Diceros bicornis minor: one gene and its partner. The protein of the gene in region 2 binds, or shares a complex with, the protein of the main gene of each other region. Links are inferred from orthologs where the notes say so. Each region holds a gene or a part of one and is shown on either strand. Other genes may lie near its edges.

Region 1 (7,876 bases), on a different chromosome or scaffold from region 2:
CTTCAGGAATAGCTAATAACAGAGGTTAGTCTAAAAAGAATGAGTGCAAATTCAAAGGGAAGGGGAAAGAGAGAGCATTCCAGGTTCCGGGGCCCAGGGCATCAGGAAAGGCTTTCAGGAATAGCTAACAACAGAGGTTAGTCTAAAAAGAATGAGTGCAAATTCAAAGGGAGGGGGAGAGAGACAGCACTGCAGGTTGCCGGGCCCGGGGCATCAGAAGCAAAGGCAGAGAGATGAACACCACAAATCTGTTTGTTATTCCCCTTCTTAAACAGTCAAGGGCTCCTAACTCTGCAGAGGAGTCCTTCACTCCTGCCTCAAAGATTCCAGCCTCATCTCATTCCACTCCCCAAATATACCATGCTTATGCTTTCCAGCCTCAATACTTGAATGTTCTTCCACTCCAGGAACATCTAGTTCAAAACTGGGAGACTACCCTGCCTGCCAGAGTTGGGGCAACATTTCCAGGCTCTCATGGTGCTTTTATACTTCTGTGCTACTACTTAATACACTAAGTATTCATCTTAATCTAAGAGAATATGAACATAGTATTAACTTTTGTATTTAAACTCTGGGTAGCCAAAACAAGGATTACACTCTTTCCAACATCAAAGCAGAATAAAAGAAAAAGGGCATGGGAATGTTCCCAAATTTGCAACTTTTCCAAGATAAATGAATATATGTCAGTAAAGTCTGTAAAACGTAATCATAAAAGTTAAAAATCCATAAACTATTAATCTTGACCCAGAACAGATTGAGACCATCACAAGATATCCTTACCAGAAGATAAGTAATGTATTCAGAGAACAAAATGTCCAAGTAATCTGCTGTAATTTAAACTCACACTAAAAAGCAAGTGCCAATTTTCAAACAAGGTAAATTCAGAATGACTAAAAAAATCATGTATAATTATTTTAGCGCTCAAAATCAGCTTTAGCGCATTTTAGCTATCCTTTAATGCAAAAAATCTTTCCTTTGGACTGTTGATTTTACACAATTTTTAAACTCAATCCAGAGGATAGAAACTGTCTAGAAGACACTTGCTGTTCTGTGTCATATATCAAGACCTCTTCAAAAGTTCTCTTGGTATTACAACTTACTATAGATGAAAAACAGGTAACAATGCCTCCCAAAATTGGATGCAATCACTACTATACAGATTTTCAAACCTCCATGACTATTTATTCATATAATTGCTTCAATCAACGGTAACTCTCAAGAAGGAATAGCCATACCACTCGCATTTGTTTTGAGGGTTCAATTTCATTTTAACAAGATCTATCAACTCCCAAGATACGGAGACAAACACGTGCAGGATTTCCACTCACATCCCACTACATAAATGTTTCACCACTCAAACTAGTCAAAAAAACTCTCTTTCAGTACAGTGAAGCCACTTCACCACTTTTATCCTAACCCCATCATACCATCTCCTCCCCATCACCAACCTGTCGGTCACAGAACACACCACCCGTTCTCAAATAACAACTCTCAATCTCCTTGAACCTAACCCATTTACACAACTAGCCAGCAATATCCCTCACCCCGACCCAGTCCTATCGACCTTCACACACCAACCGAATCTCCAAATGAAATCCACTTTCCCCCACTCCATTACCCACTGAAACTCAACTTCCCACACCCGAAGCGATCTCCCCTTTCAGTAGCCTCAATCTCTCTTAAATAAGATCACTCAGTCCTTTGTCAACCGTCTCCCGCCCCCCTCATGTATTCTCCTCACCTTCCCCGTCCCCTAGTCTTCCATCAACTCCCAAAGTTGCCAGCCCCTAACAAAAACGAAAAAGAAAAGACAAAAAACGCACCTCAACCTCAAACCTGCCTTTCCCCACTTTCCTCTCTGAATTTTCCTCTCCGCCTGTTCGCTCACACCGACAGCAGCTCCGATAACCCTGAAGACCCGAGCCTGGCCTCGTCCCATACCTCTTGGTGAAGGCAATCACCCTGCCTCGGTCAAGCAGCCTCCACTAGGGCGCTTACTCCGAAAAGACTCTTGGCCGCCGCTGCCTCCCTCCATTCATCCTCGGCCCATTCATCTCTCAGCCCGATCCCAGACACGCCCCCCGGCCTCCTCCCTCTCTCCCAGCGCCCCGGCCGGCCCGGGACCCTCACCAGATTTGAGGCTCTCGCGGAGGGAGACTGACTCTTTTCGCGTCTCCCTCGCCCTCTTTCAAGCCTTGACTTGCCCCTCGACGAGGCACACCGTAGAACACACACATACACACACACCGCCTCCTCCTCTATCGCCTCCACCGATGCTTCTTACGCCCCTCCTCGATGGCTCGAGCTCAGCTCCGCGTTGTGTGCGCGTGAGCGCGCGAGCGTCTCCCCGCGAGCCCACCGGGCCAGCTACGGCCGGTAGGTGAAGAGCGGGCGGGGTTAAGGGAGTGGGGTACGAGCCCAAGCTCGCGCTCGCCCGGGAGCTGAGCAGGCGCACGCGTACTCCAGCCAGGGAATTCAGATGGAAAGAGGGGGGCAGAGGGGGACAGGGAAGGGAGGGGAGGGAAGGAGAGGGGGAGGGGCGGAGAAAGCCGACGGAGCAGCCCCAACTCTGAACGGCCCCTATCGCTGCGAGGTGCCGAGTGGCTAGCCAACTAAAGCGTGCTCACTCCTCCCCCGCCCTCTTGAACGCGGCGGGAGAGGGATGCGCGTCGAGGAGAAAGGCTTCTCTCCTTTCCAAAAAAGAAAATCTCAGGAAGCAAGGGGGCCCCTCCTGTGTGTTCAAAAGCGCTCTCTCTACGGCTCCTTTACCCTCTCCCCTCCAAAAAAGAAATTACAAAGTCCAAGCACACACTACTTCCTAGCCACCCACCGCCCACTCTCAGTTCTCTGCCAGCCTCTAAATGCGGGTAGCTCTCCTGAGATGTGGTACCCGCCGACACCTTTTCGCCCGCTACCCCGAACTCCCTTTTTCCAACTCCCGGCTTTTCTCGCGAGACCCATACCTGCCGGCTTCGGGATTAGAAGTCGAAGCACAGATTTACAAATACCGGCCTCCTGGCTACGTTGCGAGGGCAACGGCCACGGCATGTTCCCCCCCACCCCCGACCGCAGTGCGCGCGCGCAGGGGCTGGGCAACAACGAAAGCGAGGATGGGAAAGGGAAGCTGTGAAACGGATTTTTGACCGCATGTAAGCGCTAGGCCTGGGCACGTGCCCAGCGCCTCGCGGGCGGGTCCGGAGTACCCTGGGAATTGTAGTTTTTGTTCCCACCTTCAGTCCCACTCCCACCCTCAGTCTTAGTTAGGCCTCAGGCCGGGAGGGGGATTACCGACGCCATTTTACCGGGAACAATGGCCCTCGGCCCGAGCGGTGGCGGGTGGGGGAGGCAGTTATGTTTTAAGAGTTCAGTTAACCTCCCCTGGCCCCTCGGTGCCATAGCAACGCCTTCAGAAACCTGGCCACGCCCCCTCGCTGCTCCGCCAGGCTCCTAGACTGCGCGCATGCGGAAAGGCCACCTACCCCTGGGGCTGGCTCTCAGCATCTCCTACCGTCCGTCTCTCAGATTCTCCAATTGGTAGTGGGTAGTGACTGCTATCTCCTTCGAGCTTTCACTACATGTTAACCTCCGCGCAGCGGCTTTATTTAAGAACTGTTTCGTGCACGGTATCAGGCGTAGTACCGTAGAATTGTTTCTGTCGTTCTCACATGAACAATCCTGGCTCCACAGGGGAGGAAACTGAGGCTCAGCCAGGGAAAATGGACATGACTTGCTCAAGTTCACACAACTATGTATGGAGGAGTCAGAACTTGAACCCACGTGTGATCACTCCAGAGCCCATGCATTTTTCACTCCCCTAAGCTGCATCTGGTGTCACAGCCCCTGAATGAAAGCTCCTAAAGGGTGGGATTTCTTTCCGAATGCCCCTGAAGCCTTAGCAGGATGCCTTGAGGGTAGGCGGCTGTGTGGAAAATGCCCAACCTCAGGGCTCTATCACTGAGTTATACCAATCTCTCTTCTGTCCACCACTTGCTTTTTTCTTTTCCTTCTGTAGGCCTCGGAACCTCGGCCTTTTTCAGCTCTTTAAAAAACCATCAGTAAATTTAACTCTGAGGTTTCCTGAGTCCAAATGGAGTGGAATGGTGGGAGGCATCGTAGCCTTGTTTCTTGTCTCTGCACCTTTCCTCTTGAATGTTGCTTATTAATCCGAGTATTTCCAGAACATGTAAGGAAACCAGACCATGCCCTTAATAAATTTAAACCCCCATCTTCCAATTTTGACAATGGAGGGAGACTGAGGAAATGAAATTCGGGGCTATGAGGTCCAGCTATTTTACCTGTAGAGATCTTCCTTCCTGGGTAAATTTGGAGGAGCAAGGTGTAATGTCTCCAAATAGTGCAAACACTCTACCTTAAAGTTCTCTGCATTCCAAATTAGCTGCAGAATGGATGGGGTCTCCCAAACTCCTTCTTTCCTCACTGCCCTTGAAGATAATCCCTTTCCCCTGTTGAATTGTTGACTACTTTGAGGAAAAGAGGAAGCATAGCCAGATAACCACCAAAGGGCAGTTTCAAAGGTTACCAAGTTGTTCCAAGTTTTTGTAGGTCCTAACTCCCACTGAGATGGTAAGGAGAAACTTGTGCCCACCATTTTTATTTTTCAATATCACCCTACTCGCACCACCACCATACACATCCACCTTAAGGAAAATCAATAGGTACCTTCCTCCGTTGTAGCCTGCTCCTCCTACTTCATCTCTGAGCCTGATGATGTAATCAACACAGAACAATATGTGGAAATGTTAGCCCTTCAACCCGCTCAGATGTGAACCCTTTCAAGAAGTCCCTTTTTGACATTTGCTAAATAACTATAAAGTAGTGTAACTTTTACAAACTTCAGAAATTAGAAAATCAAACAGGTGTGTACCCCGTCCAAGTACAGGCCCTTCTCAATTTAGGCCTTTTATTGATGTCTGTGCTCTTCTGTTTGAAGCAACCTGTCCATAACTCAGCACAAATGCCACTATAGGCACAAAGGGGATTGGGCAATTATAGCTAGTCAATAATGGGTGGCAGAGAACATTCCTACTCATTTCCACTGACTTTCAAGTGGCACTTGTGATGTTTCTATACATCAAATAGAAAATTTGACTTTTTTGTGTGTGTGTGTGTGAGGAAGATCAGCCCTGAGCTAACATCCATGCCAATCCTCCTCTTTTTGCTGAGGAAGACTGGCTCTGAGCTAACATCTATTGCCAATCCTCCTCCTTTACTTCTCCAAAACCCCAGATAGTTGTATGTCATAGTTGCACATCCTTCTAGTTGCTGTATGTGGGATGCCGCCTCAGCATGGCCAGACAAGCAGTGCGTCGGTGCGCGCCCGGGATCCGAACCCGGGCCACCAGTAGCGGAGCACATGCACTTAACCACTAAGCCACGGGGCCGGCCCCTTGACTTATATTAGCCACTTATAATTTGGCTTTACATTATTCCAGGAAAACATCCTTCCAATAATCTAGTTCATCTTATCTGAAGGCTCTGGTACCAAGAAATTACAAAAGCCTTCATTGGAACCATTTTTAGACCCCAGCATCCCAGCAGATGGGGATGCAGATCTCCTCCCTACCACACAGGATGGCAACTCCTTCAGTCAACAAGGTGGAACCAAGATGAACCTCCAAGTTTACAGTTAGCTGACTACTACAGCCATGGGTAGAGTTGTGATTATTTCTGAAACTCAGTTTCTGACCCTGAGCCCTCCTTTTACCAGGTTATTGGGAAAACAATATAAGTCATTCTTGATGTTCTTTTTCCTTATCCCAGGTGATGCCACAGTTTGGGGATCTTATGTAGTACCCAGGCATGGGGGTGGAGAGTGGGGGCAGAATACAGTTATATGCTTCTAGGTCCTTAGATCCTGTCAGTTACTGCTGAGCCCTCTGCCCACATGGATCTTTTCAAGTGCTGTTGTCCTCTCCAACATCTCTGCCACAGTGGAGGCACAGAACTCATTGCCAAGGTTACCTGTTCGTCCATCTACCTAGACATTCCACACAGCCCTTCCTCTCTTGAATCTTCCTGCCAACCAAGCGTTGTTTCTGGGAGTATATGCTGCTTGAGCTTCCACAGAGCTCTCTCTGCCTCTTCCCCGCAGCGAGAGGGGAGTGAGGAAGAGAAGAATCTTTTTTTAGGCTTATGCAAATCTTTCTTCCTTCTAGTTTTCTGGCCCAGATACTTTGTCTCTGCTCCTGAACCCTAATCCCCCTTCCCTAGTACTTACACTTTTTGAACACAAAAACCAGAGAAACTGGCAGAGTATTTGTTTTCCTGCCTTGCCACCTCACTCCCCTTAGATACACCACAAAGCTGACTACTTTGTTGCGGAGTAGGGAAAGGGGAGCAGGCAGACAAAAGGGGAAAAATACAGGAAAGAAAAAAATCCATTTATATCTCAAAATAATATTGCAGCCACATTCTCCATCTATTAAATCTTAGCATCTCAGCAAAGAAAATTTACTTCCCATCCAGATGCCCCCTGCTCAAGACAGTAACTCCCAGGGCACTGGGGAAATTTCTCACCTGTTAATGTCCTCCCAGGAGGCTCTCTTTCCTCGCAGCACGAGGTGAGTGTCTCCTGAGTAAGAATAAGCATCACCTACCTCAGAAATGAACAGCTATCTTTGGTTTAATGACTGACTTGGAAACACTCCACCTTTCAGATTGGACAGTGCAATTTCTCGAGCCTTACTATAGAATCTGATCTCCTCTTCCTACAGACAGTCTTTCCTCATGTGACCTAGGCCATATATCAGGGGGCAAATTTAAGGTAAGTGCCTTTGCCTTGGCAACTGACTCTTGGAGAACCTAAAAAAAGAGTAAGCCCACATCACTTCTCTAAAACTTGGTAAGTGTCTGGAATCTCAACTCTTCTGCAAAGTCCCCATGTGGACAGGATACAGAACCTGAGTTGGAGTTGCTGGAACAGCCTTTTCCTTCTCCAGAAGAAGATCAGTTCTTTTAGATATGTATAGTCTAACATAGTGTATTCTTCTGGGAATCAGAGAATTCAGTCTCCTGGGCTAACAAGGCTGCATTTGCCTGTCTGCCTTTCCTTCCTCTCTCCTTTTCTCCCTCCCTCCTTCCCTTCAACTGACTCTTCTGTATCTGTTCCAACATTCCATAATAGTTTTTCAAAGCAATCTTGTTACAAATCCTTCATGTAGCAGGAATGAATCAGAGTCTACCACTAAGAAGTATAATAATAATAATAATAATAGCTAATATTATTTACTATGTAAATAATTTACTATGTAAATGAAATAACATTTACTATGTGCTTTATACAAACCCATTGAATCCTATGGGGTAAGTGCCATTATTAACACCATTTTTCAAATTAGTAAACCAAGGCACAAAGAGGTCAAATAACTTGCCCAGGGTAACACAGCAAGTAAATGGCAGAGCTATATTTGAACCCAGTTAGTTTAGTTCAGAGTTCAGGCTCATAATAATTTTGTTGTATCTTTCTTTATTGTCTGTGATTCCACTTAATTTTAGACTCCAAGCCCCTCATTCCATGGGGCTGGTAAAATAACCTCAATTCTTCTTGACATTCCTCCACCCCGGGCTCATGCCACAGTTCTGGGCTATTACACAGTGCTGAGGCCTGGGAGTGGAAGTTCCTTAAGTCCTTGGTCATCAGGCAACACAACTTAGCAGTCAGAGGTCCATTGCCTCTGCCCACAGTGTTTCTTTACAGTCTGGCAGGCCCATGTTGCATTGGGACCCTGCTGGTGGCTTGGGAATTTTTGTTAAGGCTGCCTAGTACAGCCCCTATTCTCTCAGGTTTTCCTGTCTACCCAGGGATGATGCCAGGAAGCAGGACACAGGTTCTATACCTAGGACCCATGGGTCTTCC
Region 2 (7,253 bases):
CCTTTCAAGGCAGAAGTTATTTTCATACCCTCATGGCAAAGAAAGAAAATTATTCATTAGAAATCTCTTGGCTGAAAATTTTTAATGCTTAAAAACAGCCCCAATTAAGCTTCAGTGGGTTAAGTGTGGAACAAGCCCCAGATTCAGGATCCCTCCAGTCTCTGGAGGTTTGACATGTGATCCCAGGCCAGTCACTCACTTCTCTGGCTCTAGGTTTCCCAGGGAACTTGTAAAACAAGGCTACTTCCCCCTGTTCTCCCCCTACCTCAAAGCATTCCATGGGGTCAATTACCCATGCCGAGGTAATAAGGCCGATATCCAAGGATGAACCTACTGACCAAAGGTTACAATTTCCTCTCTCACCAACTTTCTTTTTAGTTATCAGAGCTTCCCACAAAAGTTATCAGCTAATCAGCAAATAATTACCCAGTACCTACTATGCATGCAGACACACAGTAGTCAATGAGGAGTATTCAGAGGTACCGGCACCGTCCTTGCCCTTGAGGACCTGTCTCCAAGTTTGGGGACTTGTAAGATATATCAACAAAAGCACAAAAAGATTTAGTGAGTAGGCCTATTATTCAGTACCCAACTATGAGATACAAACTAGAGGTACTGGAATTGGGACGAACATCAGCCAGGACAAGAAAAGCTAAGTTTCCCAAGACAAAGTGGAATTTTAAAACAGCCTTGATAGACAGATAACTTTTGGGAAAGAGGAAAGGAAAGGCATTCCAGGCAAAAGGAACTCTGAGAGCTAAGGATCTGCAGCTGGATGTAGTAGTATACAGGATGGATAATCACAAAAGAGACCAACAGATCTCTTGGCAGGGGTACAGGCACTGGGAATGGAGACTGCAGCCAGGTTTCAGAAGACTTGAATGCCTGGCATGGTAAGCTGGACTTGGAGAGGGAACAAAAGGGAATGAGCTGGGTGACCTGGTGAACGCTGGAAGCTGCTCAGTTTGGATTTCTTGCCTATTCTCTGCCTCTAGTAGGGGAAAAGCAAAAGAACAAGTGCAAGAAACAGGTGTCATAAAACCGAAGGCATCAGCCATCCCAGCTGAGAGGAACCAGCGTGTTGAAGAACAAGAGAGCTCCTTGGGGGCAAGGACTGATACATTTCTGAACACAGGTCTGGGAACACAGCAGATGCCCCAAAATGCTTGGGAAGCAGCACTTTGATCAGCTGCTGCTAGTCTCACATGGACCTTTCAGCCCCAATATGCCACGGGTCAAGCAAATACCTTGATTCACATCACCCCTGCCCTTCTGCTGGCTACCAGACCCCAAGAGGAGAAGGTGAGGACACTGCCCACCTCTGCCCCAAGCCTATGGAACAGGCTTTCAGACGTTCTGTTGCCCAGAGGCCACAAGGAGTCCAACACTAAGCTCCTGTTGCAAAGAACACACAGGGAGAAGTTGTATCGGCAGCATACTCAGTCTAAAAAATCCCAGACTCTTCTGGAGGGAATCACATCAAGAAACACAGTCCCTGGGTCCTCTTCAGACAAGAAGCCACCCAACAATCATGCCAGTTCTAATGGGGTCTAGATATGTTTAATGACATCACTCTGTCCCATGCGATGCAAGAGTTGGGACAATCCATACAAAGGAAAGTGTTTTGAGGTACTCTCCAGAGAGTATTGATTTAGTTGAATCTGTTATCATTTAACCAGCCAGTTACCATCTGCATCAAACTGGCAACTCAGAGCAGCAGCCCTCCCCTCAGTGGTCCACTGCCATGGCCTGACCCCTCCCTGCATTCTTCTCACCTCAAGGAAAATGGCAAGCCTGGTTCTCTACCAACTGCAGACCCACATACTGAAAAGGCTGGCACAACATGAGGAGATGTTTTAGCACACAGACAGAGGAATAACCGGCCCCTGAACCGCAGTGAGCACCTTCACAATGAAAGAATCAGATCTTCAGATAATAGTTTAAAATTTATATGTATGCACCTGCCAGGAAACAAACCCTCACTGGTTAGATCCAGGTCAACAGAAGTACTTAAATTCCCTTCTGTTGATTCCTATTTCCTAAGAAACCCCTGACGGAAGGAGCAAGAGTTCCTCTAAAACACACACCTTCCAGTATCATTCACAAACTTTTCAATTCAAATGAAAGTCAGTTCAGAGCAAGTGTCATCTGAATGAGTTTTTCTCCTTCTTACTTGAACTTGTGTGTGTATACAGGCACACATACATGCATACACACACACTTTTAGGAAAGACATCAGCATGGCACGCTTACTGAAAATCTGAGCACTTTAGTGGGAAAATGCAAGCACTCTATGCCAGGCCAACCCTGCTATAACATCAAACTCCCCCAACAAGAAAAACCACCCCAGAGACAGTAACCAGCAAAGGGGAAACACCTCCTTGAAACAGCCTAAGAAAGGCAATCCTGATTCAGCCTTTGCTGAAACTACTCCCAAATACCAGCCAGGAAAGCCCTTCTTTCAGCTGCCCAGCAAACCCAGATCTGCCCTTGCAGAAGCCAGATCTCTGGAGAAAGGGGCTTGCCTTCTCTGTCTGACTCTGCCGCCCGTTAGGATTCATCAGTGGCCAGACCTTCCAATCTTGCCTAACCAGCACAAGCACAAAAGCTGGTAGCTGCACCCCGAGCACACATTCACTTACACACACACACACACACACACACACACACACATACTTATACATACATACCTCTCACCCTCCATTGTGCGAGGCCCAGCTGGGGTGGCAGCTGCTGAAATGTGCACGCACCGGGGATCCTAGCTCTGCTCTCGGTTTTCCCAGCCAACTAGCGGGAGATCTGATCAGCAACAGTGATTCAGCATGGCTGCAGACGAAGCCTCCTCCCTCTCGGTCCTCCTTCCTCTGACTTACTCGCGGCAGCTTCTAACGCAGAAGCAGCAGCAGCAGCAGCAGAAAATGTCTTACCCAGAGCTCCCTGCAGCCCTTTCAGCTGCTAAAAGCAGCAACCCACTTGCTCCCCCTCCCCCACAGGCTCACTGCTCCTCCGTCTCCTAGGAACAGCGCAGCTCTAGCGACCCAAGTACGGTGCCACCTTTCCAGCTGCTTCCACATCTGTCCAGGCATTCCCAGCACAGGCGACCAGACCACCCCAGGGCCTCCCACCTCCTCTGCCCAGACTGTAAAAGCTCAGGGAGTTCCTCACCAGCCCAAGAAATACTGGCCCCCACCCCCGCCTCTGTCCCCATAGGCTATGAGCCTGTCAGCCTGGCCAGATTGCTGGAATGAGGAGGCCCCTCTGTGGCTTGCAGTGGAGTTTATCCACCTGGGGAAATTGACTTGCAGGTCACAGCTCATGTTCCAATCCCTCCTCCCAAAATCTACAGTAGCTCTGAGAGTCTGATAGATGGAGATAAGTCAGGGGGAAAGAGTCTGATAGAACTGAGAAGAATGCAGAGAGAAATTAGAAAAAGGGAACTGGTAGAAATAGGTGAAACTGAACAACCCTATTTCACTGCAACAGGCCAAAGACCACTGCAGTAAAGCCATTACAATGAATACTGCATATGTTTACTTCCCTAGGCCATATTGAAAGACCACAAATCTCATAGCACAACGCTAATATTTTCCTTTTAAAGCCTGTCATATTGAAATTTGTCTTAAGCTGTGGCTCCAACTAGCAAGTCTCCCAACGAACCCCCATCTTCAGCCAAAGATCTCTTGCACCCTGTAATCTCCAGCTGCTCAGCCTCAATTTAGACTAACTTCACTCTAAAACACAATCTGGGAGAAGGCAGAAGGCCAGTCTGTGTCTCCCAGCCACGGCCAGGAGGCTTAGAGGTAATTGGGGCAATCAGTCACTGGTGATTGTTTAGCCACAAAAACGGGCTCCGAAGCTTCCTTAATACCTCAGAAAAATCATACATGAGCATCTCTCTTCTGGGAACTCTCCATGTCACACCTGTGCTTTTCAGAATCCATACCACCACCAGCCAGCTGAGTGACTCTCAACAAGTCTTTTCCACACTCTGGACCTCAGTTCCTCATCCATAAGATAGGGTCAGACCATACGATCTCGAGAGTCCCTTCAGCTCTAAAAACACATGATTCTAAAAAATGTCTTAAATGTTCCATTTTTCTTCTCATTAAAGTAATCTGTAAGATTGTTTAAGAAGAAATTTTTACTGGACTCTAATGTGTTGTAGAGCTTCAGGGAGAATAACCTGATGTATGTGAAAGTATGAGAGACGCTCAGTAAATCTATTACTGTTATAATTTTGACCTGTTAAGTTTCTTCACTGAAAAAGCCCTGAAACCAAAGGAGGGGAGGGTGGGACATTGAGGTAATAGAAATTAAGAGTAACTTAAACATTATATAGCCTCCTGAACTCAAACTGGCTAAAGGTTGTTCTCAAAGATTATCTCTCCTGACACCTCAGTGTCCTCTTAGATGAGGCCATTGCCCAAACTGGCTCTTTCTCAAGTGAGAGGCCTGGGTGATTTTACTTATACCCTACAGCCCTGTATCACCACTTCTGCGTTTCACAGCAATACCCCTCGTATCTTTCTCCCTCTGTGTCCCTTCCTCCTCTCATCAGCCTTGTGGCTCTGCTCCAGGTATTTCCTCTTGAGGTGAATCACAGGGACCAGGAGAAGCTGAACATCACAAATAAGGAAACTAAATCCCCGAATCCATGCCAGAGTGCAGACATCCACCAGGAACACAACCGGGTGACTCATAAAGGGACATAAGAATAAGATGAGTCTCTCTCTCACAACTTATATGCTCATTCACAACTTCAGGAAAGGGGGGAAATGTCATATCTAACAAACCAGAGAGAAAGAAGAAAAGGTCAGAAGAGGAAATACTTAAGGGCTGAGCATATTCAGGTTTCAATATACAACTATTGAGAGCCAGTATAAAAACTTTACAGAATTTCTTTCGCAATCTACTTTTGCAATGCTAACCAATGTCAATACAACGTATGTCGTGAAGCCATAGTACTACCACCTGCACGTTTTATTTACCACTTAATCTATCCACGAGAGGTACACAGAACAGAAAACACTCAGAGAAGATCATTTAGCAAAACAAGCGGCAGAGCTGAGCGAAGAAGCAAAGTCTCCAGACTCCTGGCACAAAGTTCCCACCCTAATCTTCTCTAGTTTCAGAGCTACATTTTACATTTTCTACTTTATTATCCAAACGTCCTTTGGGCCACAGAATGGACCTGTTTGTACAAGGCCAGGCTCCACCTCACACCTATAGAATTAGGGCCCAAGGAGCAGGAATTTTAATGAACTTCATAGGTGACTCTAATGCACAGCTAAATGCAAAGATCACTTAGAACAATGAAAAGAGTTCAGATCATTTGAACCAGACAGACTAACGTCCAAATGTACTTATCAAAAACATGACCTTAGGCAAGTTACTTTACAGGGTCTCAATTTTCTCATCCGTAAAAAGGAGATAATAATGGAACCCACCTCCCAGAGTTGTTAAACTTCAATGTGAAAGTATACAAAGCACTTAGCAGAGAGCCTGGCCTGTAATAAGCACTCAACAACCATTAGCAGATATTTTCATCGCCTGTGCCAACGCTAGCCAGCCCTGGTGGTCTAGTGGTTAAGATTTGGTGCTCTCACCACCACGGCCCAGGTTCATTTCCCGGTCAGGGAATCACACCACCCATCTGTCATTTGTCATACTACAGCAGCTGCATGTTGCTGTGATGTTAAAGCTATGCCACTGGTATTTCAAATACCAGTAGGGTCACCCATGGTGGACAGGTTTCAGCGGATTAAGGCAGACTAGGAAGAAGGACCTGGCCACCCACTTCCAAAAAATTGGCCATGAAAACCCTATAAATAGCAGTAGAGCCTTGTCTGATATAGCACCAGAAGGTGAAAGGATGGTGCAAAAACACCAGGCAGGGTTCAGCTCTGCTGGAATCAACTCCACAGCACTAACTACAATAAATGCCAATGCTACCAAACTATAGCTCTGTGAGCCCTTGGCTCTGAGGTCAAGAAGAAAGTCAGTCAAGGTACCTTGTGCCAGGAAGCACAGCCCTGGGCCTCCCCTGGAACCATTTCCACATCCCCAATGGTCACTACTACCAACAGGCCACCAAGAACTAGGCAAGACCAGAGCTAAATTAAGGCCTACCCATACCTGTATCATCAAAACTTCCTCTCAGATTCTGGACCACTTGATGAGTAGACTCTCCCTGCAACTGCTTAGAGCACCCCCAACCCAGGAAGCCAAGCAGATACTGAAAAGGAACTTGATGGTGGAAGAAACTGTGCCCTGAACAGATTCAAGAGCATAATCACCCACGGCACTTGTGCTACACTTTAAAGTTTACAAAGTGTTTCACATCCATCATCTCCTTTGACTCAAGATAACAACCCCTGAATAGTAAAAACAGCTGCCAACCCTTGACTATTTGCTCTGGGCCAGACTCTGTACTCAAGAGTTTACATGTTCCTCTCTCATTTGATCCTCACAACAACTCTGCAAGAAGATACTATTATCCTTGTTTTAAATGTCAAGTGTATAGAAATGCAATAGATTTTTGTGTACTTACTTCATATCCTACAATTCTTCTGAATTCATTTATTGGTTCTAACAGTTTTTTGATGGAGTCGCTAATTAGTTTTCTATATATAATATCATGTCATCTGAAAATAGTGACAATTTTACTTCTTCTCTAATTCGGATGCCTTTTATTTCTTTTTCTTGCCTAACTGATCTGCCTAGGACTTCCAATATTACTGAATAAAAGCGGTAAGAGTGGACATTCTTGCCTTGTTCCTGATCTTAGAGGAAAGGCTTTCAGCTTTTCACCATTGAATATGATGTTAGCTGTGGGCTTGTCATACATGGCCTTTATTATGTTGAGGTATGTTCACTCTGTACCCACTTTGTTGAGAGTTTTCATCACAAATGGATGTTGAATTTTGTCAAATGCTTTTTCTGTAGCTACTGAGATGATCATATGATTTTTATCCTTCATTTTGTTAATGTGTGTAATACACTGACTGATCTGCAGGTGTTGAACCATCCTCGCATGCCTGGAATAAATCCCACTTGATCGGAGTGTATGATCCTTTTAATGTCTTGTTGAGTTCAGTTTGCTAATATTTTGTTGAGAAATTTTGCATCTATGTTCATCAGGGATATTGGTCTGTAATTTTCTTTTCTTATAGAATTCTTGTCTGATTTTGGTATCAGGGTAATGCTAGCCTCATAAAATGAGTTTGGAAGAGTTCCCTCTTCTGTTAGAACTA

What was found.
Region 1: the proteins of KLHL3 (region 2) and WNK3 are in contact, whole or in part, in a crystal structure (PDB 5NKP), measured with the Homo sapiens proteins. The link is inferred for Diceros bicornis minor from reciprocal best matches to the Homo sapiens genes KLHL3 and WNK3. Residues at the interface, in NP_059111.2 of Homo sapiens: Lys312, Arg339, Phe355, Gly357, Arg360, Thr386, Phe402, Gly404, Ser405, Gly407, Ser432, Ser433, Tyr449, Gly451, Arg454, Cys456, Ser481, His498, Arg528, Tyr577; in NP_065973.2 of Homo sapiens: Glu537, Cys538, Glu539, Glu540, Thr541, Glu542, Val543, Asp544, Gln545, His546.

The regions. Positions count from the first base shown.
Region 1 is NC_080781.1:45,687,000-45,694,875, reverse strand, and holds the start of WNK3 (serine/threonine-protein kinase WNK3), read right to left. Parts: upstream 3,065-7,876; 5' UTR 2,964-3,064; intron 2,835-2,963; exon of another isoform or gene 2,131-2,834; intron 2,005-2,130; exon of another isoform or gene 1,942-2,004; intron 1-1,941.
Region 2 is NC_080740.1:56,373,415-56,380,667, forward strand, and holds the start of KLHL3 (kelch-like protein 3), read right to left. Parts: upstream 3,075-7,253; 5' UTR 2,705-3,074; coding exon 2,691-2,704; intron 1-2,690. UniProt on the Homo sapiens protein: Substrate-specific adapter of a BCR (BTB-CUL3-RBX1) E3 ubiquitin ligase complex that acts as a regulator of ion transport in the distal nephron.